Linked DNA regions of Arabidopsis thaliana. Each later gene encodes a partner of the first gene's protein in a complex. Each region holds a gene or a part of one and is shown in the gene's direction. Other genes may lie near its edges. The genes, in order: THO5, THO2, TEX1 and THO1.

Region 1 (6,907 bases):
TTCAATTACTTGTACACAATCTTCCTCAAAACACGGACTCTCAACCTCCTCATTCAAAGCAGACACCAAATTCAAAGTGTCTTCTACTTTGAGAATAACATTAACCTCTTCGTCTAATCGATCCTTGAATCCTTTCTTTTGATAGCCTCTAGTTCTGTTCTTCCACTACACAAGTTGTTGAATTCTCAGAGAATGTAATAAACTAACTAAAACCCATGAATGTTGATAAGAAAAGGTACCTGCTTGTTTGTTCGAAAGGAAACCGGAAGACCAAGATCATTCATCTCTTTCATCAATCCATTGTCTATAACAAAATTCAAATTCAACAACTTTCAAGTTCTTTAGCAGAAAAAAGTTAAAAAATCAAAACTTTGAAGATATAACCTAAAAAGTAAAGACGTACTGGCAATTCCATAAGTATCATCAACACTCTTGTTCTGCATTCAACAAAAAGAACCAAAATTGGAATCGAAATCACAGAAACATAATACAGAGTTATAAAGAACACACTTACACCACTGTGTTGATGGAAGAGAGGAGTATCTGTATCGACCCTGAGGAATTGAAACAGAGGAGAATCAGAAGTCAACAAAAGAGCTTAATCTTATTTTTTAAAAGTCAAAAAGGATTATTTATTACCATAGATGGATTTGAGTAAGCTTGAAGAGAGAACCCAGAGCTTCAATAGCTTCACCTTCTGCTTCTTCTACTTCGCCTCTGACCTTTCCCATTCTTTCAGGAGTATGAATCAAAACCCCCCATAGACCCCTCTTCTTATATGGGAATTTGGTATTTGAACCGACGCCGTTTTTAGTAGTTTTTGTCGTTTGGTATATAAACCGAGCCAAACCGAAATTTGTCTAGTTTGATTTGGATTGGTTAATTAGATATCGGCAAGAAGAAGCATAGATTTTGATAAACGGTCCGGTTCGGAACTACCAAACCGAAATTATCGAAATTTTATTTTAAAGTTGACCGAAATGTACCTAAACATACCAAATTTAACAGAAACTGAACCGAATTTGGTTTCCATTCCAAAATCAGCACTATAAAACTAAAATCAATCAAAATTAATTGGTTTGATTATGTTCGGTTTGGAACTATCAAACTAAAATTAACGAAAATTTATTTTAAAAACCATCAAAAATGTACCAAATTAAACCGAAATTGTTAAATTAATAACCGACTCGATTACAAATCGGCACTATTTATACCATAAACTGAACCAAATTTCGGTCTGATGAGGTGAAGTTGATTTCAAACCGAACATTGAAATATCAAAATTTCGAACCAAACCGGACCGGCTTAGTTCTAAGAAAACGGTAAAAATATCAAAAAAAAGCCTGAACTTTCAAATTTGGGATGAAAAAAGCATGAACTTTGTAAATGTCGTATTAATCATGAAGTTTTAGTTAATTTCTCAAAAAAAATAGCTAAGTTTCGTTGACCGAGCCGTTAAAGGCTTGCCGTTAAATTTTCGTTAACAGAGTTATCACTCCGTTAGAAATTTAAAACGACGTCGTTTTAAATTTTAAAATTAAACAGAAAAAATGAACCTTGCCAAGATTGGAACCGTTACCATGAGAAACTCATTACGAGATTATAAACCATTGACCCACAATTACATTTTGTCAAAGTGACAAACACTAATGTATATATATACTCAACTATTCGTCTTCTCATTCATCTCCTCTATCCCTAGAATCGGAGTTCTCTCCGTAAACAGGATTCCATCGGCGTTTTGGTTTCGTTCCATTAGACAGATATCGGAGTGAGCGATTTTTGTTTTATTGATCTTTGTTGTGGTTTGAGCATTAACCAGCTCTTAGGTATCAAAACTGTAATTTTGTTCATCTTCTCAAACCTTTTTAATAATTTGGTTTCAAAATTGAGGGAATTGAGAAAAAATACATATAGATCCATTAGATCACAATCTAAAGCTCATGTTCGACGAAGATAACACAGATCTGAATCGCAAATCTCACAATCAACATAAAAATTGAAATGCGATTGGGTTTTGTGAACTTGAGAAAAATACAAAGCTATGGCACGCAACAATAGAGTTTTGTTAGTTTCTGTTAATTATGTAATATTAAATATAAACTTTTGTTATTTGATACGAAGATGTTATTTTGTCTAAATGGTTTGGATGTTTGTAAAAGTATTCTCATGTCTCATGTTTGAGCTCAGGTGGTAGTCATTTTTTCTGTTTAATTTTAAATTTTAAAACGACGTCGTTTTGGGTTTCTAACGAAATGATAACTCTGTTATTATTCTGTTAACGGAAATTTAACGGCATGTCTTTAACGGGCCAGTCAACGAAAGTTAGCTTTTTTTCTGAGAAGTCAATCAAAACTTCATAATTAATATGACATTTTCAAAGTTCATGCCTTTTCTATCCAAATTTGAAAGCTCAGGCTTTTTTTTTTGTTGACATTTTTCCCCTTTTAAAACCCTCTCTCCGAGCTCGGCGAGATCAGAGGAAGTAAATTATGCAATCGGAGATGGCGATAGACACGGTGGCCACGGCGGAGAAATCACCACTAGAGCTACTTCAACAAACCAAAGCCTCCGTCGAAGCAATCATAGCAAAGATGCTCTCCATCAAGCAACAAGGAACCCCTAAATCCGAGAATCGAGAACTCCTCACTCAGATGTTTCTCAACTTCATCAATCTTCGTCAAGCGAATCGCTCGATTCTTATAGAAGAAGAGAAAGTGAGAACAGAAACGGAAATAGCAAAATCTCCGGTGGATTTCACGACGTTGGAGCTTCACAATCTCATGTATGAGAAGAGTCATTACCTCAAAGCTAATAAAGCTAGTAGAGATTTCAAATCTAGGTATCCAAACATCGATCTCATATCCGAACAAGACTTCTTCAGTGATGCTCCCGAAGCAATCAAATCTCAAACGTTATCAAATGATAGTTCTCATGATTTGATGCTTAAAAGACTCAATTTTGAGCTTCATCAGGTAAATTTCATTTCAAAGTTCATGTCTTTAAGGTCTTGTAGTAGCTTGATTCAATGTGATTCAATGTTAAGCTTTATACATCTCTGTCTCGAATCGTTAGACCAAGTTCATGTGTTAGATATTGTTGGAGTTTTTATTCAAAAGTGATTGAATGTTTAAGTTTGTTATACACAGAGGAAAGAGCTATGCAAGCTTAGAGTGAGGTTGGAGCAACAGAAGAAGAGTTTACTTGAAAGTAATGCGGAGAGGAACAAGTTTCTGTCAAGTCTTCCAGTGCATCTCAAATCTCTAAAGAAAGCATCTTTGCCAGTACAGAGCCAGTTGAGTTTGCAGAATCAGAAGAAGCTGAAGTATCATAATCTAGCTGAGCTTCTTCCTCCGCCGCTTTATGTTATATATTCGCAGTTCATGGCACTGAAGGAAGCTTTCGAAGAGAATATCGATGTTGAGGTATCTGGGAGTCTTAAGGATGCTCAAACTTATGCGCGGCAGCAAGCAGAACAGAACTCAGGTTAGCAATTCTCACACCTTTAGTTAAAATAAGAATTGAAAATGGAATAGTTATGTGCTCGTTAAAATGACATGTATGTTCAATAATACAGAGAGTCTAAGATTAGAGGTTGGTGTTGATGAAGAAAGGCAAAGGAAACGACTCAAGAAAGTGGGTTCTGATGAGGGAGGAGTATATCAAGTTCATCCTCTTAAAGTTGTCCTTCATGTTTATGATGACGAGATTACAGATCCGAAATCTCATGAACTTGTCATGCTCAAGTTTGAGTACTTGTTGAAGTTGAATGTTGTATGTGTTGGCATTGAAGAGTCTGAGGATGGACTTGAGAAAAATATACTATGTAACTTATTTCCAGACGATTCTGGACTTGAGCCTCCTCATCAGGTACATGTGGTTTTCCTTTTTGATATTCATTCACATATGTTTGCTTGAAAACAGTCATACTCACTTCCTTTACGGTTATACAGTCAGCCAAGCTCATTCTTGGCAACGATCATGTGTTTGATAAAAGCAGAACTTCGAGGCCATATAAGTGGGCACAACATTTGGCGGGGATTGAGACTTTACCTGAAATGTCACCATTTTTTACTGACAAGGATATTCAATATAGTGATACAGCTAAAGGCTATGCTTCTGCTTCTGATCACCGCAATGTGCAAACCGTTCTGCAAAGAATACGGTCCCAGAAAAAGACTAAGCTAACGCTTGTGTGAGTCACACCACTCAGTATGTTTTTTCCCATCTTTTGACAGTAGTAGAAGTTTTTCATATTTGTAAGTCAGTTAGTTCTTGGTATCTGAAACAAACATAATGATGAGGGAGGACTATATCAAATTCATCATCTCAAAGAGTTGTCCTTCATGTTTATGATGAAACAAACATAATGAGAAGAGTGACTTTGACATCTGCGTCTAGGTTAAGCTTTAGCAATATCTAAGCAAAGAGATTCTGATGATCCTGTATATATGTATAGAGAGAGAGGTTACAATTTGATAAAAGATGAGAACACAGTTCAACTAAACATTATAATTAGAATGATTTATCTATAGAAACCAAGTATGAGCATGATCTATATTTGACAGTATCTTCCACAGCTTTTATGTTGGCTTCCTTGAAGATTCATTATCTCCATCTCCTGTTGTATAAACCCACCAAAAAACGATGGAGTTAATAAGCTGTAAGCGTTGAAGTTGCGTACAATAAGATTGGTGAGAGCAGTTTTGGTGTCAAACAAAGTGCACTTTAGAGGGTAAGAGCGGATTTCTTGGTGTCAAACAAAGCTTAAATCATAGATCTATGAACTCATTACGAGCAGATCTTTACCCAAAGACATTCTAAATGGGGAGGATTCAATTCTCAGGTTGCAGGTAATTTCCACCAGTAGAAACTACGACAGGTTTAAGTCGCATAAGCCGTTTAAATAAAGTTTTGTATGGTAGAAAAATAGTGTAAGATGGAATAAGAGCTACCTGATTCTTCTGTAATTCCTACATATTGCCTGCAAAACACGAGAAGAGATACACTCTAAAACTAACAGAGATGAATGTAACATATGAGCAGATGTCTTTGTGGTCGGTCATTACCGGCTTCCTTAGTAACTTTTCCTCTCTTCTTTCTATCTTTGCAACTTCAGCTTCAAGCTCCACCATATAGCCTACAAAGCAAAACAAGAGTACTAAAAACATTACATGAACTTCTTTAACCACTGAGCCACCTCAGGTACATTCCAATGGTCGGCCATGAACATATCACATATAAATTAAATTCAGTTCACTAGGAAACTTACTACACTTTGAGCGACTAAACCAGGTCGACAAAAAAATTTCGGAGCTGGTTGAAACCCAAATAAAATGCATTAACCTAACAAGATATAAATGACAGTGCGAGAGAACCCCGAGTTTGATTCACGGAATGCCAACTTGGCCAGTTTACAAACGAAAATTGTTGGATACAAATAACATAGGCCCTGCTCAATGAAAGCAGATGGTATTTTGATAAATAACAGATGTGGCTCTGATCAGATTCCGGCAACTATAATACAATAACTAATCCTTATCTCCTGAACGCAAGCTAAAGAATTGGATCAAATACTTTTCACCGCTCTAGTCTCTCCTGAGATATCCATTTATCATCCTGGACAAGTACGTTTAAGGTACTGATGCTTTCAGAGGAAATAAAAACACAACTACCTTTGACAAGGAAATGGGAGGAACATATTCAAGGGTGCATTAAACGCATCTTCCACTTCCTCAGGAAAAGGTGTTTTTTGTCAGTAAGAATTCCTGTGACAGAAATTACACTAGAGAGATGCTGCATTAGAGAACCAAGGGCAGATAAGAAAGTAACACTCTCCAGAAAAGGATAGTTATGCTTATGCATCTCTCTGTCACTTGATAAAAGGAATAGATAGCTTGACATACAACAGAAAACCTTTGGCATAGAGCTTACAACAAGAGAAATGCAAGATGCATGATTTTACGGCATGAAGTTAACTCCTATCGAATTTCATTTATAGATATTGCATTAGATTCAGCAGGAAATCTGACTTACAAAAGCAACGAAGAATCACACTAAACTCATACAGTAGATTCAAACAGATCTCAATATTATGCTTGTAGTACTGCAGGTATAATGCTTCAATTGTATACAAAACAACAGGGCATTTGGTCTAGTGGTATGATTCTCGCTTTGGGTGCGAGAGGTCCCGAGTTCGATTCTCGGAATGCCCCACTGCATTTTTGAGTACATTGGTCTAAATTTCATCAGGATTGAATAATAGTAACATACAATCCACCTTTGCACTAAATGCTTAAATTCAGTCAACTAACAGAATTAGATCTACAGCGTTTCATTTCTACTTAACAAAATAACATTTAATAACAGATTTACGCAAATGTATGGTTCCAGCTTCATCAAGTATAAACCCCTAAACAAAAAGATTCACGACAGCATCATCTAGTGGTATAATTCCTGCTTTGGCTTCGAGAGGTTCCAATATCTATAATTGGAATGCCACATCTACTCTTCCAAACTATACGTTCTAATTTCTACCTGAAATTTTGCTTAGAGATCAATTTTCCTTAGTCCTTCAAAAACTGAGGAACATATATTTCACTTTTAGTCAGCAAGAGAAATCATTAACAAAAACTCCCCCAAACTTTCATTATTAAGTGCCTTCTGCATACTAGAAAAACATACCGAGGTTTTAAGTCCAATCAATAAATCTTCATAACCAGTAAACTTCATCTAGGGAGGACCGACACATATTGGAAGCAGCAGGATTCACAAAGAGTGAGCTGCAGAAAGAAAAGGAAATGGATTGTGACTACATCCAACCAAGAAGCAACAATTCCTCTTCAACAAATGAGAGAGTGTAAATGGAATGCATCAACAAAACAAGATATAAAACAGGGCATTTGGT
Region 2 (7,761 bases), 8.4 Mb from region 1:
ACTGATTTGAACATAACAAAATAACAGCAGCCCTTAGGCAAATGCATGTACATTAAGTTTAACTATAAATGACCTTTAGCGGACTAGATTTTAACATAATGAGTTTATAAAGAAGAAGAAGAAGAAGAAGATGAGATCGTTAAGACATTCGAGTTTCTGAAAAGATGACTGTAAGTCAGATCAAATTTCCAATTGCTCATGGATCTGTTATGACTTTCTCTAATCGTGCTCATTATTCCGGTTGAGAACGGGAATGGAGCGAAGAATGATGAGGCTGAATCCCAAAGAACATTGTAAAATCTCTCTTTTAGTGTTCTTGAATCTCGGAAAATAATTAGGTTTAGGTTTTCATATTTTTAGTTGATTTTGGTAGGTACCCGTTTTGTTACTGGAACCTCAGTGGTAACTATCAAGTACAAAGATTAGATTTTAATGGCTTCTGATATGGGAGGTATAATGCTCTCTACCTAGTTTCAGCTCTCTAGTTATCTTGTATATGATTGATACTCTTTGTTACTTTCTTGGTAGATAAAGCATGCATGCTTCATTGTTCAAAAGAGTGCTTGCTAATTTGCTATATAGATAAAAGATCCAGATTCTGGATGTGTAAAATTTATATGATGTTGTAATTCACTTGTAGAACAAGTGTATCTTTTAATAATCAGAAAATATTGTGTGGTCGTCAGATACACAACGACGTCTCTTTATGATTCTACGTCAGAAATTAACTGAAAGCATTGCAGTGATTTAATGATCAAAGTCAATGTTTTAGATCACGTGATTTGGTCGAAGATCATAAAAATCAAAAACCAAAGGAACGAAACTTGATTACTGTCTATTTCTGTTGTCGTTTGTGTCAACTAATACTTGTACTCGTTGCTCTATTTGTTTATTATATCTGTTACTGTTAGAAGGACCAAAAGATGTAATTAAAATTTTTAATTCGATATTTGCCTAATTGCCTTGTTGGTAATATCGTGGTGGAGTCAAAGATCATCTGAGCCCATGGACTAGTTCAATAACAACCATTTCATAGTTTAACGCCCACTCAAACAAAATCATACGACTAAACCGGACATGGTTTTGTATTGAAATTGTATACAACATAATTTCTTCTATTTTATGCTGAAACAAAAGTCGACAGAAAAACAAAATCGGTCTGTAGTAGAAAAAGGAAAGAAAAAGACTTTTTTTTTTTTGTCTATTTATCACCCAACAAATGATGTTATCAACTCCGTGGTGATCTCAAAAAAGCATCCTGTTATTTCAACTGGGAATGTTGGTGGACCTAATTCATGCTTGCTCAAGCCTTGCAAACTGTTCCAAGATCCACGCGAAAATGAACAAGAACATGATGATCGAGGAGTTCGGAGCTAGGGAAGAACAGTTGTCTTAAAGAGGACGTTTCTTGTTTCCTAATTCTCTATCTTATGGAAGCATCCTAATTATGATTTGTCTTTGTGTTGTGTGTTAATTGGTGTCTTTTCTAAATTGTTCTTTGTTTGTTTTAATTTTCTTTCTATATTCCTAGGAATGGATTTGTTTCGGGTGACACTGTTGGGCTAAAACAGACACGGTTTTGTCTCTTGCACTTAACATAATTATACTGTTTGATTTCTAATCAGATTTAATACAAAAAAATTAAAAAAGACGACACACTGTCTGTTTGTCTGGATCGGAAAAGTAGTTTGTATTCGTTTTCCATATAATGGATACATATTTGATTTGCTATAAATTATAACCCTAGGTTATGAAGATTTTTTTTTTTTTTTAGGTTACGAAGAATGTTGACGTAAATTGTAAAGACAACAAAAATAGTATTTTCATCAACATTACTTAGTTTTATTCCATGCATGATGGAACTTTGGTTGAGGATTTCTATTTCTCACAAGGTAAATTCCATCATTTCTAGCAATCTAACGACGTAGAGCATCACATCGATCAATGTTGGCTGCTCTATATGCTACAAAATCTTTATAATATCGCATGTATAAGCCGTGTTTCAAAAGACAAGTCCATCTTGTCCTTCTTCCAAACATGTCTCCGAAACGGATTTGTTTTAGTTCCTTGAATTGTAAATTTGCGACGTCTAAATTGTCGTCTTTTGAATGACGATGATACTAGAGAACCAAACCGGGACCAAGATCATTCATAATTTCAATTGTGTTACGTTTACAAGACAAAACTGATACAAGCAATCCAAAATACGTCGCAACAACTAACATAAAAATTATAAAACGATTCATTTTTCGGGTAATATGAAACTCCAATTTGAATTTAATGACACCAAAGTACAGTATCTATAGTTATTTCGTGTGGTTAGTATTTGACGATTTTCCTATGGCCTTAATAAATTAGTTAAACTGAAACACAAACATGTAGTTAATAATAGATAATGTCGGAAAGTCTGGTTGACTAATAAAAAAAAACAAATGAATTCAACATTACAAATTATAAGTGATCCAAAAAACCTAACAAAAACCAAAATGTTTAATATATAACAAAAATTCTTCTAAGCATATTCTTTAATTCTAGACGAGGCAATTTGGAAGCACTGATTTGAACATAACAAAATAACAGCAGCCCTCGCGCCAATACAGGCACATTAAGTTTAACTATAAATGACTTTTAGCGGATTAGATTTTAACATAATGAGTTTATAAACAGGCCAGACCTAAAACAAATAGCTTTCGAATAACGTTGGTCAAACCGACCCGTTTTCTTTTGTTGTTGTTTCTTGAGCAAAGGAGGACGAGGAGGAGAAGAAGGAGAAGATGACTGTAAGTTGGATCAACTTTTCAATTGCTTATGGATCTTTTCTGACTTTCTTTGATCGTTTTTTTGTCCCGAGTAGTTAACGATTCTGGTTGAAAACGGGAATGGAGCGAAGAACGCTGAGAAATTTTTTAGGTTTTGGTTTCCATATTTTAGTTAATTTGGTATGTTACTAGCTAGTACTTGTACTCGTTGCTTTCTATTTGTTTATATCTGTTAGGACCAAAAGATGTAATTAACATTTTTAATTCGATATTTGCCTAATTGCCTTGTTAGTAGTATCGTGGTGGACTCAAAGATCATCTGAGCCCATGGGCTTGTTCAATAACAACCAATTCATAGTTTCACGCCCATTCAAAACAAAATCATACGACTTAACCGGACCCGGTTTTGTATTGAAATTGTATACAACATAATTTGCTGAAACAAAAGACGACAGAAAAACAAAATCGGTAAGTAGTAGAAAAAGGAAAAGAATAGTCCCCTCTTCTGCAAAATCAAAAACATATTTGCATCATCTTCACACCGTCATCATCATCGTCTTCAATTTACTTCCACCAAATCAAATAATCTCTCAAAAACCCTAATTTCTCTTTTTCTTCTCTGATCAAAATTGTTCGTTCCTCTCCCTTTTCATCTTATCGGAATGCTTATTTTCTGGTCGCCAATCGAAGTCTAAACCCTATTTTCTTAATCTTCTAGGGTTTCGAAAAGGGAGGAGAGTGAAAGATATACATACATACACACGAAAGGGGTTTAAGATGTCTCTTCCGCTACTGGAGTGTAAGTACGTGACGGAGGAGTTTGTTCGTGAAGGTAAGAATGGCAACTATGGAACCAAGCTGCCCAGCTCTGTGCCGATGCTTCGTTTCCTCTACGAGCTCTCTTGGATTTTGGTATACACACAAACACCACCTTCTCTTCCTACTACTATCCAATCACGCGTATATGTTGTTCGAGTTCCTCAACGGTGCCTCGTGATGGATTATTAGGTTCGTGGCGAATTGCCAATTCAGAGCTGTAAGGCAGTGTTGGAAGGTGTGGAGTTTTTGGATAAGCCATCGAGAGAAGAATTAGCTTCGTGTTTTGCGGATGTTGTGACTCAGATAGCTCAAGACGTAAGTCCAATTACAGTTTTGACATCCTTAGCTCAGAGATGATTGTGCAAGGTTATTGATACTGATCGTTGGATTGATTGGGTTCGTGTTCTCTTTGCTTTGTTTTGCAGCTTACCATGTCGGGAGATCAACGTTCTCGTCTAATCAAATTGGTGAGTGCTAGAATTTATTTTACGTTTTGAAAATTGATCATTGTTTGGATTTGTTAGTCTTGAGGAAAGATAATTCTAGCTCTTTAGATATTAGTGATCACAAAAAGTAACATCCTATGAATAGATTAGGCATGTGGTGTATAGCTATCAGTAGTGTCCTAAGGTTCAACCAACCGATGGCTCATCCTGGGCAGGTTGCAAGAAAGTTCCTGATTGTAAAAGGCTACTTCATCCTAAGGAGCTGAAACTTTGACCATAGTGCCTTAGATGATCTATTAGCGTAGTTTGGTATTGAATTTTCCTTGTATGCTTGATCCAATGTTCTCTGATGAGCTGCTTACAGAGGAGTTGTTAGCATATGTCTTATTTTATTGAATTTGATGATTGCGTACTTTAGTTTCTTCCTTAAAATATTCTTTCTGTTCTCATTTACCATCTCCTCAAGGTTTCTATGCTCACAGCTAATGAACCAATTGTTCTTTTTTGGTAGGCGAAATGGCTTGTGGAATCACAGACAGTCCCTCAAAGGCTTTTCCAAGAGCGTTGCGAGGTAAACATTATGTTACGTTCAGCCAATGAAACAGAGTAATACGTAGAGAATCTTTATATTAATAGAACTTAAAACAAGAAAATACAGCTTTGAGAGGTTTCTTAATAGAGTCCCCTCTTATCCCCCCTTCCACCTTTCACTAGTTCTCGATAACTCCCTCACTGGTACCCCTCATCTATATAGCATGTGCATCATGCAATCCTACTGCCCATCATAGAAACCGTAGCTTGAACAAGTCTGGAGTGATAGATAGAGACTGCTAAATAATAGTTATTGTAGCTGCTAAGGTAGTTATAGAAGTTAACTTCAAGGCTGTAGCCTGTTTCGAATGTCACATTAATCCCTTAAGACTGAAGAATTGTCCTCAAAGATCCAGTGGACCAGCTGGTCTCACGGAATAGCCCTCTTCTTCTTGCTGTAGATGTAAAGGATAGGAGCGGGCAAGTCCTAAAATGTTTGTTATTATTCCCAATTTGAGTAGTTTGTACCCCACCCACTTAACCTCTCTATTTTCTTGATCAGTAAGAAGAAAATTTTCTGAAGGCGTTTTATTTATTTTATTTTAGGAGGAGTTTCTCTGGGAAGCTGATATGGTTAAAATAAAGGCCCAAGATTTGAAGGGGAAAGAGGTGAGGACTTCACACTTCTGTAACTGCTGTATTAATATGACTTCACACTTTAGTCATCAATGCAGCTGCACTGTGCTCTGATTTACGTAATAGTTACTCTGAGTGAATTGCTATTGCGAAAGATTAATGCTTATAAGAATTTCTACTTTACCTGTGTAACTACTGCTCATTGTTTATAAGTAACAATTCTGGTTGATGCTTCTCAGGTGCGATTAAACACTCGTCTTCTGTACCAGCAGACAAAGTTCAACTTACTCCGTGAAGAAAGCGAGGGATATGCCAAATTGGTTCGTTATAGAAGATCTCTAGCAGTCTAGTTTTTTTTTTTTTTTTTTTTTTTATCTATTGTCATTCTTTCTGTCCACTTCGTTTCTATTGTCTTTTCTTAGATACTCTTTACTTCTGTTTTTTCTGAAACACAACTTTAAGGAATACCCCTTTAGTTTTTGGAAGGGATGATCTTTTCAACAATGCTGATTTGGCCTTTCCTTTTCACACGGTTCCAGTTGGAAGGCATATCTTCTGCTAGTTTTATTACCTATAACTGTGCAGAGTAATGAACATATTATCTCAGTAGAGATTCGATTAAGTCAGATTATACATACACCAACTTATAGCAGTTCCTTTTTGTGGAGTGCAGGCCACTCTTTTGTGCCGAGGATCTGCAAGTTCTTCGCACAATGCATCAGCAGCAACGATGGGAATTATCAAGGTTTTGATTCGGCCAATACATTATATTTCGCCCATTTACTTTTTCTGAACTTTATATTTTCTTGCAGTCATTAATTGGGCATTTTGACCTGGATCCAAACCGTGTTTTCGACATTGTAAGTTTTCACTGTTGCTTCTGTCATATTTTTGTTTGATATTGCATAACGCATCAATCTGTCCTTCCCGATTAGTAATAATGTACCCTTTGTTTTTGATGAATAGGTTTTAGATTGCTTTGAACTCGAACAAGATTACGACACATTTCTCAATCTAATTCCTATCTTTCCCAAGGTTTGGAATGTCTTCCTCGTATTTTTATCTTCTAATGCTTAGCTCAAGAGACTATTTTTTGCTAAAAAAAATAATTTTCATGTGCAGTCTCATGCTTCACAAATTCTTGGATTTAAATTCCAATACTATCAGAGACTAGAGGTGAATAGCCCTGTTCCAGTTGGGCTCTATAAGCTTACAGCCTTGCTAGTAAAGGAAGAGTTTATCAATCTTGAAAGCATGTGAGTAGTTTTTTCTTCAACTGTTTTTTCCGCCCTTTCCTTTCTTGCTTTCAAGGTCTTTGGAGCCTCTCGGGAATATTCAAAATCGAGCATTATGTGTAGCCTTAAGAAAGTATACTGGTTTTATCTTTTGTCGTAGACTGAAGTCTCCTTACTAATTGGATACTTGTAGGTAGTCTTCTTCATGACGATTTCTTTTCTTTTCATTATGTGAGAATAAGGTTATACTTGCACACTGGTTTTTATCCTTTTTTGCAGACTGAAGTCTTCTTTCTAATTGGATTCTTGTACATGTCTTCTTCATAACGAGTTTTTTTTTTCATTGAGAATAGGACTAGATCAGTTGGAATGTAAATGAAAGATTCTCTTCTCTTCTGCACCTGTCTCTTGTTTCTAGTTGTTTGGTATCAATTTTAAGTTTGTTTCTTACTGTACTCTGAAAGTTACTTTTTTACTTTGAGATTGCTCTTAAGGAGGACTAGCTAGTAGACTTAATTTATTTTCTCGTGAGCAACTCACTCAATTCATTAACTTATTTCATCAGTGTACTGATTCGGTGATTACTAGATTGCTACATTTCTTTGTGCCTCTAACAAGTGAAATCATACTGAATGTATGGACCCAATATTCTTATACTTTTTTGCCTGGCTGTTGTGAACAGATATGCACATCTGCTACCTAAGGACGAGGAAGTTTTTGAGGATTATAATGTTTCTTCTGCAAAGCGGTTTGAAGAGGTACAGTTCAATATATGACCTCGTCCTTATGCTTAGAGATGTTTTAAGATAGTTTTGTTCTGGCCTACCGTAAGTTGTCTATATGTTTCTTATGTGTTAAAACCTTTTTTTCCCTTGAGACAAACGAACAAACATGGTTTCTCTGCTCTTGTGGTAATCTGCTAATCTTGCCTTCATAAATTTAATAAATACTTAGATACTAAGCACTTCTCCATCTTCCTGGAAGCCAGCCAATTATTTTTTGTTTTTTGTTTTTTACTTTCATAGATTTATTCATGAGTTATTATTTTTACAAGTCCTTCCTTTTATACAGGCCAATAAAATTGGAAAGATTAATCTCGCTGCTACTGGGAAGGATCTTATGGAAGATGAGAAGCAAGGAGATGTCACAGTAGATCTCTTTGCTGCTTTAGACATGGAAAGTGAAGCTGTTACTGAGCGATTACCAGAGCTTGAAAATAATCAGACTCTGGGCCTACTTAATGGTTTCCTCTCTGTGGACGATTGGTATGAACACCGAATCATATCTTTTTACTTAACAAATCCACTGTCGTCAAACCAGTCCATTTGGTTAACA
Region 3 (7,557 bases), on another chromosome or scaffold:
AAAACTTAAAAGAAAACTGTTGGAACCCAACTTTCCAGACATAAAAACATAAACAAAAACAAAATCAAAGTCTCGGAGAGAGACAGAGACTCATCAGCTCTTGTGTTTCCGTTGCAATTTTGTCATCTGATCTCTCTCCGGGACAATGATACATAGACTGACAAACACATTTCATAAATCATATATACAACATTTCTACCCCAAGGACAAGAGACAGTACCGTGTCGTCAAGAGTGGTATGGCCTTTTTGTGTCGACTTTTGGATCGGTTTCATATTGCTTTATGATCACAGCCAAACTGTTCGATGGTTTTTACCCTTCTCTTGTTTTGGCTCTCTTCATACCAAGGCTATTGTAAGGAGAAACAGAACCGGACATTGGAGATCCTTCTTCACGAAGAGTTCCATTGAGCAATGCTAGCTCGCGCAGCTGTTGTTTCTTGTACATATCATGGGTTTCCTCCTATAAAACAGAAACCGAGTGTGAAAACTTTGTAACAATAACTGGTTTAAAATCAAAGGGAGGGGGAGAGCTAAAAACAAACCATAGGAGTAAGAAGATCGTCAAGTATTTCCCGAGCTTGCATGAGCCGTGCATCGACTATTTCAATCGGTAATTCTGCTTCCACTAAGATATGAAGTGGTTCATTTAGGTGCTCGTATCCCGGTTTTCCTCTCATCATTTCCTCCTACAAGAAGAAATATATTAACACCTTGTACAAACATTGAAATGTAGATACAAATGAAGTTGTAAAGTTTAATAATAAATACCTTAATTGGATCTTTTATACTTCCTCTTCCTCTTATAAGAACACGGCAATCAGTACTTGCTTCAACTCGCTTCAGGGAGTTTCCTCTAGGACCCAGGAGGCGACCAACAAAATTGAACTGCCATATAGAAAATTAAGGAGTTACATTCCAACCAGGAAGTAGTATATCTCAGTGTAGAAATGAAAGTTCATACATTCGGATAATTGTCGACTGGAATATCGACCCTGATTGTACGCTTGGCGATGAGACCGGACGAACTACCAGGTGAGTTAAGCCAATTTGGTCCCGGAGATGATGGAACAGATCTCTGCAAATGATCAACCAACAAAATTAGAAGCAAGATCAACCTTTAAGCATAAGCACATGAATACTGCAACTTCTTGCCCTGGAACTTCATTCAATGAGAGTGGTCACTGTATCAAGGCATTTCAACCTGTAGCTGTTATATCCTAATAATATGCATACAGTGACCACAGATATATGAGAAAATTATAGCATTAATTTCAATCCTACTCGTGAGGATAGTGGAGTATCTAATTAGTGTTGATCTAAGGTATGAACATACAAACATTACGGATATGAAGTGTTAGCCTACCTGTCATGATAAACTAGGACTAAAAGCAGTCAAATATGTTATGTCAGTATTATAACTTAAGTCAATAAAACTTCTATTGCAGTAGTATGAATTAGAGAGTTATGTTAATGGTTAGTAGTCATACTTCTGATGGAAACTGGGAGGCCCATCCATTCATGTCAGCTCTTGCATTCTGAAATATCCCTCCAGAAGCCAGAGGGCTAGGGTGGTCAAGCCCACTCTGACTTAAAACTGTAGCATTCTCCAACAGTGTGGTTACACGCAAAATTTCTGTTCCAAAAATGTCAATTTGCAAGAGTAAGACGCACCAGTTAGAATTAGTCAACAAATCAGTCACCAAGACACCAATGAATGGAGAGACAGCATAGTTAATTGAGTTAGCTTAAAATATATTTTTGCTCTCACTCTAGTTAAATACACTCTGGTTAAATAGAATGAAGTCAGTATAAGAAATATAGAATTAGTCATTTCGTGATCTACTTCTAATAGCTAACAATTAGGTCTCTCTTAGCAGTACTGTTTAAGAGTTTATCAACTGTATTATAGCTTCATGAATCTGAAGCAAAGAATGAAGTATTATGTGAGATGAAAATACAAATAATAAACAACAAAAACAGTAATGCTCACCTTGGTTTAGTAGCCGAAATGCATGTGGAAGCACAGGCAGGAATGGAGTAAGCTTATGACGCTCTGCAAGTAACTCTGAAAGATACCTGCCAAAACAGAAATTGTGCAGAGTATCCAAATTAGTAAAAAAGCCTCAAAGACACATCAAACTTACAAACAGATACACTCAAATTCACTCTAAATCGATACAACCAGATTCAAATTTCCATTCTTTTGTGAAGTGGATCTAGTCAATCTTCCAAAAATCGTATTTTTTTTAACAGTTTCATCAGCCAAGAACAGAAATCAACAATAACAGAAACGAACACAACCAATGAAATGATCCTCACACACTAAAGACTTATGCTTTACAAAAAATGAACTGGATTGAGACAAATCTGAAATAGACTGAGCTAGTTCCGAAACATAGATCCTAATATAATCAAAAGAAAACAAAAAAGACAAAAATCCAGATTCGAGATACACTATTAAGATCTAAAAATCAAAATCAGCAAAGCAAAGATCAACATACTTCATCAGATACATCAGCTAATTATAAAAGATCACCAAACAATAAAAAACAAAAATATAAAAGAAGATGAAAAACTAAGATTCGATTACTTCTCTTGCTCAACGAAGACAGAAGACTGTGATCGGAGACCACCGGAGTAATTAGGAGACTGAGGAGCAGAAGGAGGCACCGAAAGAGACGACGAATACGTCATAAACCTCCCTCCGCCGCCACCACCAATACCACCACCACTTCCTCCTCCTCCACCACCACCACCACCAAGCGACGACATCATCATCATCTCGAAGACAACAGAATCAGAGTAAATCTGTCGGAGATTAGAAGAAGAAGAAGAAGCGGCGGAGGCAGAACCAAAGCTGTTGTTGTCTCTCTATAACGTCGGTGGATTTAAGAGGTCATTTTATAGAGACTGTGAAATGATTACTTGTTGTTTGCTTAGCTGTTTTTTTTTTCACCTTTTTTCTTTGTTTCATATTTTACCCAATTTTACCGCTCTTCTTGTTAGTTTCTCTCTGAAGACTCTTAACCATCTAGAAGGTTTTTTACATCCGGTTTACTAAAATTCGATTCGGTTTATCTATACCGGAATGACTAAACGCTGCGTTTCAGGAAGCGAAGCTCTGATATTCAGTAGGCCGCGAAGGAAGGTTGAAGAAGAAGAGTTGAGAATTAAAAAATGGAGGAGACGACGATTCCTTTCAAGAGCTTACATAGCAGAGAATATCAAGGTCATAAGAAGAAGGTTTTTTTTTTCTATCTCCAGTCTAATTTTCTGTACTCAATAAAACTTGCGAAACCCTAGTTTTTTGCTGAATCTGGGGGAATTTTTGGATTGAAGGTACATTCAGTAGCTTGGAATTCGAATGGAACAAAGCTTGCTTCGGGTTCTGTTGATCAAACGGCTCGCATTTGGAATATCGAACCACACGGTCATGTAATTTCTTTACCTTTTTGAGCTATGGGAACTTCTATGTGTTTTTGATGATGATGAATACATATGGAGAAGTATTGTAGATTGAGTTAAAACTCGATTATTATCTTTGTCATTGTTACTTTTTGAGTTATGTAGTTTTTGTAATTTGGTTGTTTGTGTGGTGTGTGGATACAGAGCAAGGCTAAGGACCTTGAGCTAAAGGGTCATACTGATAGTGTGGATCAGCTATGTTGGGATCCCAAACATTCAGATCTTGTTGCTACTGCCTCTGGTGATAAAAGCGTTCGTCTTTGGGATGCTCGCAGTAAGTTATATTCTTTTAATCGTTTAGTTTTGCTCCTGAAATATGCCTGGAGCTTGGTTTAGAAATCTGTATATTTTCTAATGGATTAGCTATGTGTCATTCACAAATATTTCTCGCAATCTTGGCCTTTGCTTTTGAGTCATATCGCGGAGACTATTGATTGATGAGGATCGGATCTAAGTTTCTTAGAATTATAAATTAGTTATTTAGCCAGATTCCATAAGAGAGGAATTTGATCAGGTTTTTGATATGTGGCTACTATTGTATGTTTTACTATCAATTGCTGAGATATGTCTTCTTCGAGTTCTACAGGTGGAAAATGCACACAGCAGGTAGAACTTAGTGGAGAGAATATAAACATCACCTACAAACCTGACGGGACACATGTAGCTGTTGGTAATAGGGTATTGTCTCGAGCCCCATATCTTTACACTTTCATTGTTCTTACTGTCTATGGATTACTTGATAGATCCCTTTTCATAGTCGTTGTCCTTTCTCTTACTGGCCAATGTAGGATGATGAGCTTACAATTCTGGATGTCCGTAAGTTTAAACCTCTACACAGGCGCAAATTCAATTATGAGGTAACGTAAGCTCAGACTCATGTTAATCTTTATTAATGGCTTTTTTTTTATAAGGCTCTTCCGTATCTCCTGTTTCAAGCTCATGCGGTTATATGTCACCTAAGTTCCTTGTTCATGTAATAATCGTCAAGTAATTTTCTGGTGCCGTATGGAATGTTCTCTTATCTTTTGTCTTCTTGTAACAGGTTAATGAGATTGCTTGGAACATGCCTGGAGATTTTTTCTTCTTGACTACTGGACTTGGTGAGGATTTTAAATTCTGTACTTTCCTGCACACGATTCCCTACCAAAGATTTCTTTGTTTTTGAACTTGAGAAAATGATCTTACTGAAAGTTACTTTGTATGTTGTCCTGCTCAGGCACTGTTGAAGTTCTTTCATATCCATCTCTTAAACCACTTGACACTCTCACAGCCCACACAGCCGGGTGTTATTGTATTGCAATTGATCCTAAAGGGAGGTAATATATATTTACATTTGTGGGCTGGCCTCTGAGACACGAATGATAATCTTTTTGCTTTTGCATCTAATTCTTCCTCTTTACCTTAACAGATATTTTGCTGTCGGGAGTGCGGATTCCTTAGTAAGCCTTTGGGATATCTCAGACATGCTTTGTTTGAGAACATTTACCAAACTTGAGTGAGTATCAACATGAATTTTCCATAGAGTAGAAAAAGGTTTAATTTCTGTTACATGTTAGTAATTTATAACTATTTCTCACAGGTGGCCAGTCAGAACAATAAGCTTCAACTATTCGGGAGAGTATATTGCTTCAGCCAGTGAAGATTTATTCATTGATATTGTAAGTGATTGCCCAGACTTAAACACTGCTAATTTCAATGTAGTTTCCTCAATATGAGATTAGTTCCTCGTATCTGACCACTAACTACCAAACAGGCTAATGTCCAAACCGGGCGGACGGTGCATCAGATTCCATGTCGGGCAGCCATGAACAGTGTTGAGTGGAATCCCAAATACAATTTACTTGCATATGCAGGTGATGACAAGAATCCCAAGTATAATACTGATGAAGGTACTACCGCGTATTAGTACTTCATTGTTAGCAACAACTCAAAACTCTAATATTGGTAGCAGAAAATGAACAATGACAACAACTTGGATCTCTTTGCAGGTGTTTTCCGGATATTTGGTTTTGAGAGCTCGTAGGAACAGAGCACTGAATCGGGAAACATGATACACAACTCCACTTGATTGTTCCTTGTTGAGTTAGAAAAAGTTTATGTGCCTAGTGTACCTAAATATGTATTGTCAGTATATCAAGTTGGAATAATCTTACAGTATCACTAAATACATTGAAAGTTTGCAGTTCTGAATCTGGCATTTTATTTATTGCAAAAATTTGTTACTATACAAGCAATGTTGTTTATTATTAACGAAGAATGAAATTAATAAGATCAAGATCAGAATTCTAATCCCGAATTACATCAATTTTCTACTATGTGTGAGTACTGCTAAAAGTTACAGGTTGTTCTTATTCCCTCCGGCGAATCTTCAGTCTGGGAGATTTGACAGCTACTCTCTCAAAGCTAGAACAGAGGCCAATGGTAAGATCGGACCAAAAGCATCATCCCCACAATGAAGGTTGAAGAAAGAATGCAGAGTCCTGAGAAAGAAAACACATTTATTACTGAGAGTCCAATTTTGGATTAAAGAACAAGAAGAGCACACGATTTGCTTACCGAACAAACAGTGAATAGGAAGAGTTTGTCAAAATCCGCAGAGGATGAACTTTGAGACCGGGAAGAACAACCCTGCAGAGCAAAGAAGAACAATAGTTATCAAATACTGAGAGAACCAAGTAACAGGTTTCCACTTGATCTCAACGCTTGAACTCTTCATCCTCTTCCCACTCATCGGCTCTTTCGACAAATCAAAGCTCGACCCTTTCATCCTCAACTCCAAAACACACCGTGTAAGCGTTCTATTATCATTCCTCTCCCTATTAACACCTCTGTAAACTTTCCAGAACACAAACAGCTTAGCTTGAACAAGAAACACCAGAACCAATGAAGTAGCTAATGACACTGCAGAAGGTATCCACCATTTCTTGCAAACCGCATTACTTTTCACCACGTCAGCATCATCAGAACAAGAAGAAGAGTAGACAAGTGTGAAGAAGAACCCATGGAAGACTAGGAAGAAACAACAAAGCTGAAAGATCTCTCTTTTGATTGACTCTAGTCTTGATTCTTTAAGAAGAACACGACGACAGAACAAATCTTCTTCTCTTTGCCATAACTTCAAAAGCAACAAATGTCCTGGACTCTCTGAGATTTCAGACAACGGATGCTGCTGAATCACTTTGAGTATTCCCATTCCCGGATTTGAGACCGCAACCAACTGTTGTTGTTGTTGTCTCTCTTTATGCTCTTCATCTACTGGAATCTCCACTACATGAGAATCTTTAGTTCCGGCCATAGAGAAAAAAAAGATTGAGACTTTATGAAGAAACAGAGATCGGAATAGGAAAGCAATTAGAGAGTAAGATGAAGATTGAAGATTTGAGTTCGTTGTGTTTTTTTAGTAAGAATTCCTTTTCTTTCACAAAATTTCAGGTATTTAAATTGTTGTTCTTTAACGGCTATATGTACAACGGTCGGATTGTTTTCTTTTTACGTTATGTTGTTACTGCTGCGATAACATAGTAAGAGACCTTTTCTCACTTTAACGGCTATATTTTCTCCTCCAAAACGCATATAGCCAATATTTGGGCCTTTAATGGGCCGAATGATATGCAATGTGCTTTATAGTTTAACTAGGCCCTATGATTCCATTTTTTTTCTTTTCTTTTCTAAAGTATATGATTCCATTGTTTGCTTTTGTTCCACCACAATTTATAACAAGTGATATATTTATGAATTTTTCTATTACTAAAATAATAGAATAAAGTAACAAATAAGATTCTGTTTTTAATTACTTTCAAAACACATACGCAAGTTATTGGAAATGACATTTTTGGGATTTTGTAGACTTCAACGCAGAAGCCAACATCAAAGGTTTGTAATTTTGTATGTCTGTTATCTATTTATTATACTCAAGATGAAAATAATAAAAACTCTTTATTTACATTTCTTCATTTATTAAAATGCTTTACAAAGCAAAACTTATTAATCTCTGTAAAAACAGAAAGCACCTAATTAATCATACCCAATGTTTAACTACCAATGTGATCGAAAATGAAAATCCAAACAATGAAATCTTAAAGAAAAAGGAA
Region 4 (9,655 bases), on another chromosome or scaffold:
AAATCAAGATCCAAGTGAAAAAAACTTTTAAGCAAACCAGATCAGGATCTTCAAGTTTCTCCTTGATTTCAACAATACTCTTCTGCTCATCATCAAACAAACCAGCAAAGGGATCGAAATCGTCATCGTCTTCAACATTAACAGATTTCTCTCTAACTTCTTCTTCTGCTGCTGCTGTTACTCCTTCTTCATCTTCCTCCTCCGTCTCCTCGTGAACCCTCCCATTATTAACCCTACCAATCGCCGCCTCCGTAACGTTACCACCGCCGCCAAAATCGCAGTTTCTACACTTGTTAGCCATCGACGTAGCGTAGAGACGCTCGACGATGTTATCTCTCCGACGTTTCAGTTCTTGACCATAGTCAAGAGACGCAACAAGAATCGCCGTATCGATAAATGTCCAAACATCAACACCTGCGTTATCCATAACCGATCGGAAATCATCCAAATCCATTATCACCCACACTCCTCCTTCTTCCCCAAATTTGGTTACTTAATAAAGAATTCAAAACGAAAAACAAAAAACAGAGCAAATCGAATTACGTAACCAGATCTAAAAGATGAATCTTTTGATGAATTTGATTCATCGGAGATTAAAAATCGTGAAGAACCAAACAAAGTTTAGATTTCAAATAGTTTAAAAGATAGACAAATAAAAAAAACAAAAAACAGAAGAATCAGATTGGTAAATTCAGATTAAAAAGGAAGACCCTTTACTGTTACGAGGAAGAAAGAAACAGAGGAGGTCGTCTCACATAAGATCAATAATGAGTAAATGGCAAATTAAAAAAAAAAAAGGGAATGAAGAAGAAAGGGAATATTCCAAATTTGAGGCTTTAGAATTTGGTTTGGAGGGTTATTGCTTTTTCTTTCATTCTTCTGCAAGTTTTTTTTTGTTTGGTCCGTTAATAAAAATAATATTCAGACAGAATCAATTAACAGTTTTAGGACAAAAGTAAAAGAAGAAAATGGGAATTGCTTTATTGAGGGATGATGCTCTTTGCCCTGGACAGAGCAAAGCTAAGCAAGTTGGTTTGTTGTGGTTGGGGAGATGAACAGCTCTAGAGAGAGAGAGAGAGAGATGTGAGTGTTTTTCTTTCAATAATGGCGTTTACTTTTTTTAGTTTTTCTTCAAGTGACGAGAAACATTTTACATGTTTCGACTTTTTTGGTTATTGGGCCTCTAAATTTTTGGCCCTATAGCAAGTGGACCCAATATGTCAAATCAATATTTTCATTTGGTCTCAAAGTGTTTGTTTCATGACTTTCATCTCATGAGCCACTGCCACTCACTAATCGTTTAGTGAATTTACGTCGACGGTACAATCAAAACCCCCAAAGAGAAGATCACATCCGAGTTTTTAGGTGTTGAAGGAGGTGTTCGATCCATCAAAGTTTACTTTGTTAGGAAGTAATGTTTATTTATCACTTGTTGAGTGTAGATTATGAATACAATGTCTTTTATGCAATTATTGGAACCTAATATTTATCTCGAACAATTTCGAGCAATTTTTGAAATCTTCAAATCCTTCTCATGTGAGCTATTATGATTTCTTCTGCAATAACATACCATGAACAATTTCGAGCAATTTTTGAATACAGATGTTTTAAATTTCTAATTGATTTGATTCCACACATTAAAACTACGCCATATCCAACATATACAGGCAAAGGTCTTCTGTAAAACTAAATAATGTGAAGCCCACCACCCAACGGATATCATTTTACTATGAAAGGCCCAATGAACATGTTGTTATTCAGTTTATAAATTAAAAATATTTCGGATCCAGATCCAAGCCCGGATATTTGCGGATAATTTGATTGTTGGGAGGATATCTTCCGGATCCGGATCCACCCTAAATTAAAATTGTTCTTCCTCCACTCTTCTTCAAGTTTGGCCTCCGTTTCCAGATTTTTATTCAATTCTTCTTAATCAACTTTTAAAATCCGGCGACTCATAGTCCGTGAATTTTGACCGGCATATCCGGTTTTGGTGTCGTCGGTAAATTCCTCTTCATTGCAGTGGAAGCTGGTTCATTGAGAAATAATGGTAACTCTTTTGGGATTATGAGACTTGTTTTCTTTTGCTTCTTGTTAAATCTATATAGCTTATAAAAACTTGTTTTCTGCAATTTGTGGTTCTTCGCAGGATGCATTTAGAGATGCTATATTGCAGCGAGCTCCAATTGAAACCTTTGCACTCAAGACTGTTCAACACTTTATACAACCTCAGGTAACTCTTTCGAATCAACTAACAATTTCTTCACTCCTTTAGTCTTACTTATTGTCTTTATTGTAAAATTTGACAGAAACAAACAAAGTTGGCTCAAGATGAAAACCAAATGCTTGAAAACATGCTCCGGACATTGCTGCAGGAGCTAGTGGTCTCTTCTTTCTCCACTATTATATTTTCGTGGTATGCGTATATACTTGTTCATTTATATATGTGTGGATTTCTCTTTCTGTTTTCGGGGTTTCAGGCTGCTGCTGCGCAATCAGGGGAGCAAATTATGCAGTATGGTCAGTTGATTGACGATGATGATGATGATGATGATATACATGGACAGATTCCTCATCTTCTAGGTTAGCAATCTCTCTAGTCTGATTTGCATAGTTCGTTCAAACAAGTGCTAGCGTTGTCCCCGTAAAACTTCTTATTCTCTTGTTGTCTATTGCTTATCATCTTGTCCTCACTACTTTTGTCTAACCTCTCACCATCTTCATGTTTTGATTGCTTTGTTAGATGTTGTGCTTTATCTTTGTGAGAAAGAGCATGTAGAAGGTGGCATGATATTCCAGCTGCTGGAGGATTTGACCGAAATGTCTACTATGAAAAACTGTAAAGATGTTTTCGGTTATATTGAAAGCAAACAAGATATATTGGGCAAGGTATTTCTTAAACGAAATCAAATTTTTTCTCGGTTAGTTGTATCTTGTATTTTGACTTGGATGTTGCAATTATTTGCAGCAAGAGCTTTTTGCACGCGGAAAACTTGTCATGTTGAGGACTTGCAACCAACTTCTCCGCCGACTCTCAAAGGTTCGCTATCTGCACCCTTTTCTAGTTCCCTTTGTCAAATATCCATAAGTCATAATCTACTTTTTCATATATAACACATCCACTCTTTTTTAATTCTTTTTTTTGCTTTCACTATTTGGCATACAGGCCAATGATGTTGTATTCTGTGGAAGGATTCTTATGTTTTTGGCTCACTTTTTTCCGTTATCTGAGCGCTCAGGTAAGAAGGGTTTCTCGTGCATATACGATTATTTGGTATGTGAATGTTTAAAAGGTGTGTAACGTTTACTTGCGTGACTTATTCTTTCAGCCGTCAATATAAAAGGTGTTTTTAATACATCTAATGAAACCAAATATGAAAAAGATCCTCCAAAAGGCAAGTGATTTTTTTTTTTCTTATGCTTTTGGTCCTTATCTCCATATGACAATTCTAAAACGTGTTACTTATTCTGTCTATGTCATTGCTTCTCAGGCATTTCTGTAGATTTCAACTTCTACAAGACATTTTGGAGTTTACAGGTGCGTATTAGTTAAAGGAACTTTGTAGGGAACGAATGTTATGCCTTTATCATAAGGGTTGTCTCATAGAACCTCTGTTTGCATATCATGCAAAATCAACATTACTGGAGATAGCATCTCAAATTTCCTTTTGTTAGTTAGTTTATTGAGATAGTTCTTTTCTTACTGAGAAAATTGTTTCGTTTCCAGGAGTATTTCTGTAATCCCGCTTCTCTTACTTCCGCATCTACCAAGTGGCAGAAATTTTCATCCAGTTTGGCGGTATGTGATCTTTGGTTTTTGACTAAATTGCATTACCTGGTCTTGTATATATGTATATGCATAGAAAATTCATGCTGGCGGTAGTGAGAAATCATCTTAGACCTTGTTTCTTGAACTGCTTATGTAGGTTGTTTTAAACACCTTTGATGCTCAACCACTAAGCGAAGAAGAGGGAGAGGCTAATAGTTTGGAGGAAGAGGCAGCAACTTTTAATATAAAGTACCTAACAAGTAGTAAATTGATGGGTTTAGAGGTAAGTATGCTGTGGTTGGACATGCGCACTTCTGAACTTAGCAGTTCACTCACTTTTTTTTCTACCTTTCGCCACAGTTAAAGGATTCGAGTTTCCGACGACATATTCTTCTCCAGTGCCTCATTATGTTTGATTATCTAAGGGTAAATGTCTCTCAAGAATTATTGCACGGAAATTACTCTCTCTGGTATTCTGGTATAACTGAATCCTGTTTCCGTTTAGGCACCAGGGAAGAACGACAAAGATCTGCCATCTGAAACCATGGTCAGTGTTTTTTCTTGTTTAATGAGAAAATTCCTCTTGCTTTCTTTCAAAGGTTCACAAACCTAGTTATATCTCAGTATTCAGGGTTTTATGCATAATTACTCAAAGGTATTGTTTATCTTTTCGGTCTAGAAGGAAGAACTTAAGTCATGTGAGGATCGTGTAAAGAAATTGCTTGAGATCACTCCGCCTAAAGGGAAAGAATTCCTCCGTGCAGTTGAGCATATACTGGAGCGCGAAAAGAATTGGGTATGTGTGCTGCTTTCTCTCTTACCTGCTGCATGATTTTCTGGCTTGTAGTTGAGGGCCGTTAATGATCTTCTACAATACACAAATAACAGGTCTGGTGGAAACGTGATGGATGTCCACCATTTGAAAAGCAACCGATAGATAAGAAATCACCTAATGCAGGGCAAAAGAAACGGTATGGGGAAAAGCTGACCTTGTAATCTAACTGCTTTGTACTCATAGATGGTGTCCGCCATTCGAATTTAGAATACATTACGTGGAAGAAATTGAGAAGATGTTTTTTCCCTAGTGATCTCTGGTCGCTAGTCCATTAAAGTGAGAAACAACTAATAAATCTGCATTACGAGTATTAGGCTCAATATGGGTTATCTTTTGCTTTTACAGGAGACAAAGATGGAGATTGGGAAATAAAGAACTCTCCCAACTTTGGAGATGGGCAGATCAAAATCCGGTATGCATTATTTTTCTTTGCATCCTTGTTCGTTGTTCATATTATGCCACATGCTTCTCCAGCTCTCCTCTCGGCTCAATCTTCATATTACGACTCTACAATAATTGTATATCTGATGGGATAACAGAATGCTTTGACTGATTCTCAACGCGTGCGAACCCCTGATATTGCAGACTACTGGAAACCATTAGCAGAAGATGTGAGCTAACATACTGTTTTCTTTATTTTTCCCAAAGGACATCTTAAAAAAAATGGTTGATGTCTTATTAGCACACCTGATGTTTTGTTAAAATCTCAGATGGATCCATCAGCTGGCATAGAAGATGAGTACCATCATAAAAACAACAGAGTATATAACTTTCCTCTGATTTACAACTTTTTTTTTTATGATGCTTAATTGAATCAGTCTAAGGCAGATAATTGTTACTGTTTTGATAGGTTTACTGCTGGAAAGGTCTTCGGTTTACAGCTCGGCAAGACCTTGAAGGATTTTCTAGGGTAAAATTTTCTTCGATTTCGATTTCCCAATGCTTCATATGATTGCTTTTTAAAACCTTTTTCTTTCTTTTTCACAGTTTACTGAAATGGGAATCGAAGGAGTTGTCCCAGTTGAACTATTGCCGCCTGAGGTCCGGTCCAAATACCAAGCTAAACCAAACGAAAAAGCCAAACGAGCGAAGAAAGAAGAAACCAAAGGTGGATCTCATGAAACAGAGGGAAACCAGATTGGTGTTTCTAATAGTGAAGCTGAAGCTGAAGGAGGAAGGGGTGATGCAGAGACGATGGAGAGTGATGCTATTGCAGACACTCCTACGCCTGAGGAACAGCAAAGACTCGGTGGTTCTGATACAGAAAACGGTCAAGAGGCCGGTCAAATCGAAGACGGAGAGACAGAAGAAGCTGGTCTGATGGACACTGATCTTGATCATCCTCCTATGCCCGTCTCATGAATACGCTTTCAGTTTGTCGACCCTTTCTTCAATGGGGAATCCTTTGGATATGAAGTTCAAAAGTATTGATGTTTAACAAATTATGTTAAAAGGTATTTTCTAAATATGTTTGTATGAGTGCAAATCTGCTAGCTTATTACCTGTCTTTCCATTTCTATATACTCAACAAAATCATCATACAATTAAGTTCTTTTGCGTAATTTATCGTCTAAGTGTAACACTAGACACATATTCGCAGCTAATAAACATTGGATTCAATTGCAATCCACTAAAAATACACTCAAACAAACAAAAAAATCAAATACTTGAGGAACCAAAAGCTAAAAGTGTTACTATTATAGCTATCAACATAAACTTTATGTTTTGCCATCAATATTTATTTAGAATATAAATGAGTGGTTTTTAAGTCGTGTCACGATTTTTAAAGTCCATAAACACCACCGATCTCCATATAATAATAAGGTTTCATCATATGCCAAATCCAATAATACGTGAAACTATACCAGTTCATTGTAGGCTTATTTGGTTATATTATTACTACCTCCAATCATTGAAAATGTATATACTTTGTTTAGTCGTTATCACTTGTCAATGCATATCAAATCACCTTATAAATTTACCCAAATTCACTATTGAATTGTTGATGCACTGTCACATAAGATCACAGTTGTCTTATAGTCGTCGCACTGTTATGACAAAAAAAGTGTCGACTCATATTGAAACAAAAAAAAGACTAAACAATGTTGGCACAGCGATGCGATAAAGAATCGACCAAGAGACAACCGAGTGATTTGTGTTGTCAACGACAAATGAAAAGTTGCCTATTTTTGTTACTTATCGTTTGAATACAAAACCGTAGATCGATCTAAACATAATCCGAATATACTAATTTTTTGTTTAAACATGATTTATTAACAAAGTCATTTAATTATTGTAATACAAAAGGTTTTTGCCAAAACAACAACATGCTACTTTTTCATCATTTTCCCGGAAGAAACTAAAGATACATGTGGCACCGACACTTTTCTAATTTTCTATCAGATCATGTGGCCCAAAGGATTTGGAAACAAACAGTACCTAGAATGCATTCTAATCATAGATATTTATTTTTATAAACCTACTACGTCTTTAGGCATATATTAGCTTAACACTAAAAATTACATATGTTTTTTTATATATAAAGAAGACGAACTCACAACTTTATTAGTACTTTATTGAAATTTAAGAGCAGGTTAAAAACATTGAAAACATCATATATTGTGATTTTAGTGTTACGCAAATATTGTCTAAAAAATACGTTAGTTTTTCTTGACTTAACTTATAGTGTACATATATAGGTATATAGATTGTCGGCAAATGTATACATATGGATGTATGGCATATAAATAAATATGATGTGATATGATAGTCTCAATAATTTGCACATTGTTTTCCACTTGTACATAATATTTTGTGGTCAACAGTACATTAAATTTGTATATGCAAAACAGGAGAAAAGACAAATGGGAAAAATAATGGTGTGGGTGGAGCCTAATTTAATTGTATCTACGCAAGAGCTAGTGAATAGAATTAGAGAATTTAAGTCTGTATCAAGGCAAATGAAAGAAATAAAGAAAGTTATTCCTTGAACATTTCTAATTTTATATTTCAGGTTAATATAAAGTACATTGATAAAACACAGTTAAAAGTCAAAACCAATGTGCTCAACATCCTCTAAGCATTATATATATAGCTTTTATTTTTGTGAATCTATTTTTATTGTGATTAGTATAGTCATCACTCAGGAGACAGAAGAACAAAATAGAGGGAAATAATAAATGTAAAGGGTGATCCAATGTTTACCAAATCTATATAAAATTTTCGTCCTTTTCCGATAAAAAGACTCAGTGAGTCAAAATTATTCATTTAATTTTTCTTACGTCAATTTAAAGTCAATTTATACATTTTAATTTTTGTGTCTACTTTATAAGTACTCAGTATTTTTTTTTTTTGTATAAAGAATTTAACGAAATTACCAACTGTTAAGACAAAATAGGAGTGGAGGACAGAGAGCGCCAAGCGACACACTTTTACTGGGTCCCACATTTTAAATTCATTTATTATCTTTTATTTATTTTCTAAATCTCTTTTTATTTTTTTGTTGGTAGTTTGTGTGGTTTTCTTTCTCTACTTTGGTTTGGTAGTTGATTACTTGAGGAGGTACTTCAATATCTTCCGTCTGTGTCTCTCTCTCTTCGTCTTCTTCATTACGCGTCTTCTTCTTTCTCCTCTTCTTCTACATTAGCCCCTCTCTCTTTAATTAGCTGCAGCTCACCTTTCACTATCTCTTCTTTTATATTGATTGTGAACTTGTGTGTGTGCGTACATTTGGAGTTTCAGAGAAAAACAGTTGGATTCACTCCAATACCTAACCTTTCACCCATCTTCCTCATTACTTCTTCAGAAGAAACTGAGAAATCTTCTCTGCAAAGCTTGTAATTGCATGTTTTGATGGGAGTTGTAACGACTGGATCTCTCTCGACCAACCTGTTGGGTTGACTTGACCCGGTTGCAGACCTCGGAAGCTAGAGATTGCGTGTGTGTGTCTGAATTTGACATACTGTCTACTGTTTTGTCGGTACTATGAATACTGGTGGTCGGCTCATCGCTGGTTCTCACAATAGGAATGAGTTCGTGTTGATTAATGCAGACGAGAGTGCCAGAGTAAGAATTTATATCAAAATTGAAGCTTTTTTCACTTCTTTCTCTCTGTTTTGATTTGCACACATTGTTAAATTTTCGTTGCTCTGTGTAAAGGTTTTGCCTTTTTCTTATTCTGGATCTGGGTTTTACATTTCATCGTTAATTTATCAATTAGGGTACACGATTCCATAATTCTTACCTACTTTTATCATCATGTACAGTGAAAGTTTGTGTCGGTGGGGATTGAATTCTGAGTTTTAGTGTGTAAAAAATCCCCAAATCTAATACTTTGCTTTAAAAGAAACAAATTTTGAGTTAATTGCTAGTGAATCTTGTGTTCTAATTGAGATCCAATCTATGTGTGTTTCTCATAATTCTCTGCTTATGCTGATTTCAATATACAGATTAGATCAGTGGAAGAACTAAGTGGACAAACATGTCAAATCTGTGGAGATGAGATTGAGCTAAGTGTTGATGGAGAGTCTTTTGTGGCATGTAATGAATGTGCTTTCCCTGTCTGTAGACCTTGCTATGAGTATGAGAGACGAGAAGGAAACCAATCTTGTCCTCAGTGCAAAACTCGTTACAAGCGCATCAAAGGTCACACTTACTTGTTTCAACAAGTTTTAACCTTTGTCTGATCTTATGTATCTGACAAAGGTTTCTTATTGTTTTCAGGAAGTCCAAGGGTTGAAGGAGATGAGGAGGATGATGGAATTGATGATCTTGATTTTGAGTTTGATTATAGTAGGAGTGGCCTTGAATCTGAAACTTTCTCTCGCCGCAACTCGGAGTTTGATTTGGCCTCTGCTCCACCTGGCTCACAGATTCCTTTGTTAACTTATGGAGAGGAGGTTGGTTCATATTTTCCCCAATCACTTCTACTGTTTTATTGTCCCTTTTTTATTGCTCATTTTGGTTGTTTTTCTAGGACGTTGAAATTTCTTCTGATAGTCATGCTCTCATTGTTTCTCCATCACCTGGCCATATCCATAGGGTTCATCAAC

What was found.
Region 2: THO5 (region 1) and THO2 share a complex: the UniProt entries of both Arabidopsis thaliana proteins name them as parts of the THO complex.
Region 3: THO5 (region 1) and TEX1 share a complex: the UniProt entries of both Arabidopsis thaliana proteins name them as parts of the THO complex.
Region 4: THO5 (region 1) and THO1 share a complex: the UniProt entries of both Arabidopsis thaliana proteins name them as parts of the THO complex.

The regions. Positions count from the first base shown.
Region 1 is NC_003070.9:17,150,464-17,157,370, forward strand, and holds THO5 (THO complex, subunit 5), read left to right. Parts: upstream 1-2,432; 5' UTR 2,433-2,492; coding exon 2,493-2,975; intron 2,976-3,149; coding exon 3,150-3,486; intron 3,487-3,577; coding exon 3,578-3,870; intron 3,871-3,953; coding exon 3,954-4,199; 3' UTR 4,200-4,380; downstream 4,381-6,907. Other genes in the region: AT1G45231 (S-adenosyl-L-methionine-dependent methyltransferases superfamily protein), read right to left, coding at 1-165, 240-304, 404-437, 515-554, 640-731; AT1G45229 (uncharacterized protein), read right to left, coding at 4,974-5,140. UniProt on the Arabidopsis thaliana protein: Acts as a component of the THO subcomplex of the TREX complex which is thought to couple mRNA transcription, processing and nuclear export.
Region 2 is NC_003070.9:8,738,674-8,746,434, forward strand, and holds the start of THO2 (THO2), read left to right. Parts: upstream 1-3,266; 5' UTR 3,267-3,390; exon of another isoform or gene 3,391-3,477; 5' UTR 3,478-3,536; coding exon 3,537-3,671; exon of another isoform or gene 3,672-3,767; coding exon 3,768-3,893; intron 3,894-4,003; coding exon 4,004-4,045; intron 4,046-4,535; coding exon 4,536-4,595; intron 4,596-5,161; coding exon 5,162-5,224; intron 5,225-5,430; coding exon 5,431-5,511; intron 5,512-5,564; exon of another isoform or gene 5,565-5,777; intron 5,778-5,864; coding exon 5,865-5,936; intron 5,937-6,003; coding exon 6,004-6,051; intron 6,052-6,157; coding exon 6,158-6,226; intron 6,227-6,313; coding exon 6,314-6,447; intron 6,448-7,108; coding exon 7,109-7,184; intron 7,185-7,497; coding exon 7,498-7,691; intron 7,692-7,761. UniProt on the Arabidopsis thaliana protein: Acts as a component of the THO subcomplex of the TREX complex which is thought to couple mRNA transcription, processing and nuclear export.
Region 3 is NC_003076.8:22,720,687-22,728,243, reverse strand, and holds TEX1 (Transducin/WD40 repeat-like superfamily protein), read left to right. Parts: upstream 1-3,144; 5' UTR 3,145-3,178; coding exon 3,179-3,244; intron 3,245-3,340; coding exon 3,341-3,436; intron 3,437-3,610; coding exon 3,611-3,740; intron 3,741-4,052; coding exon 4,053-4,144; intron 4,145-4,254; coding exon 4,255-4,323; intron 4,324-4,508; coding exon 4,509-4,566; intron 4,567-4,682; coding exon 4,683-4,782; intron 4,783-4,874; coding exon 4,875-4,961; intron 4,962-5,045; coding exon 5,046-5,124; intron 5,125-5,219; coding exon 5,220-5,355; intron 5,356-5,454; coding exon 5,455-5,489; 3' UTR 5,490-5,762; downstream 5,763-7,557. Other genes in the region: AT5G56140 (RNA-binding KH domain-containing protein), read right to left, coding at 312-461, 544-687, 770-886, 963-1,076, 1,489-1,634, 1,992-2,077, 2,592-2,782; AT5G56120 (RNA polymerase II elongation factor), read right to left, coding at 6,051-6,761. UniProt on the Arabidopsis thaliana protein: Acts as a component of the THO subcomplex of the TREX complex which is thought to couple mRNA transcription, processing and nuclear export. Contributes to the integrity of the endogenous trans-acting small interfering RNA (ta-siRNA) pathway.
Region 4 is NC_003076.8:3,064,768-3,074,422, forward strand, and holds THO1 (nuclear matrix protein-like protein), read left to right. Parts: upstream 1-1,810; 5' UTR 1,811-2,047; coding exon 2,048-2,050; intron 2,051-2,149; coding exon 2,150-2,233; intron 2,234-2,309; coding exon 2,310-2,384; intron 2,385-2,480; coding exon 2,481-2,583; intron 2,584-2,743; coding exon 2,744-2,889; intron 2,890-2,968; coding exon 2,969-3,040; intron 3,041-3,166; coding exon 3,167-3,239; intron 3,240-3,329; coding exon 3,330-3,395; intron 3,396-3,491; coding exon 3,492-3,538; intron 3,539-3,727; coding exon 3,728-3,799; intron 3,800-3,926; coding exon 3,927-4,052; intron 4,053-4,129; coding exon 4,130-4,195; intron 4,196-4,274; coding exon 4,275-4,316; intron 4,317-4,448; coding exon 4,449-4,565; intron 4,566-4,657; coding exon 4,658-4,740; intron 4,741-4,949; coding exon 4,950-5,016; intron 5,017-5,143; coding exon 5,144-5,215; intron 5,216-5,314; coding exon 5,315-5,365; intron 5,366-5,454; coding exon 5,455-5,514; intron 5,515-5,591; and 3 more. Other genes in the region: AT5G09850 (Transcription elongation factor (TFIIS) family protein), read right to left, coding at 38-454; CESA5 (cellulose synthase 5), read left to right, coding at 8,589-8,669, 9,053-9,248, 9,327-9,502, 9,580-9,655. UniProt on the Arabidopsis thaliana protein: Acts as a component of the THO subcomplex of the TREX complex which is thought to couple mRNA transcription, processing and nuclear export. Contributes to the integrity of the endogenous trans-acting small interfering RNA (ta-siRNA) pathway.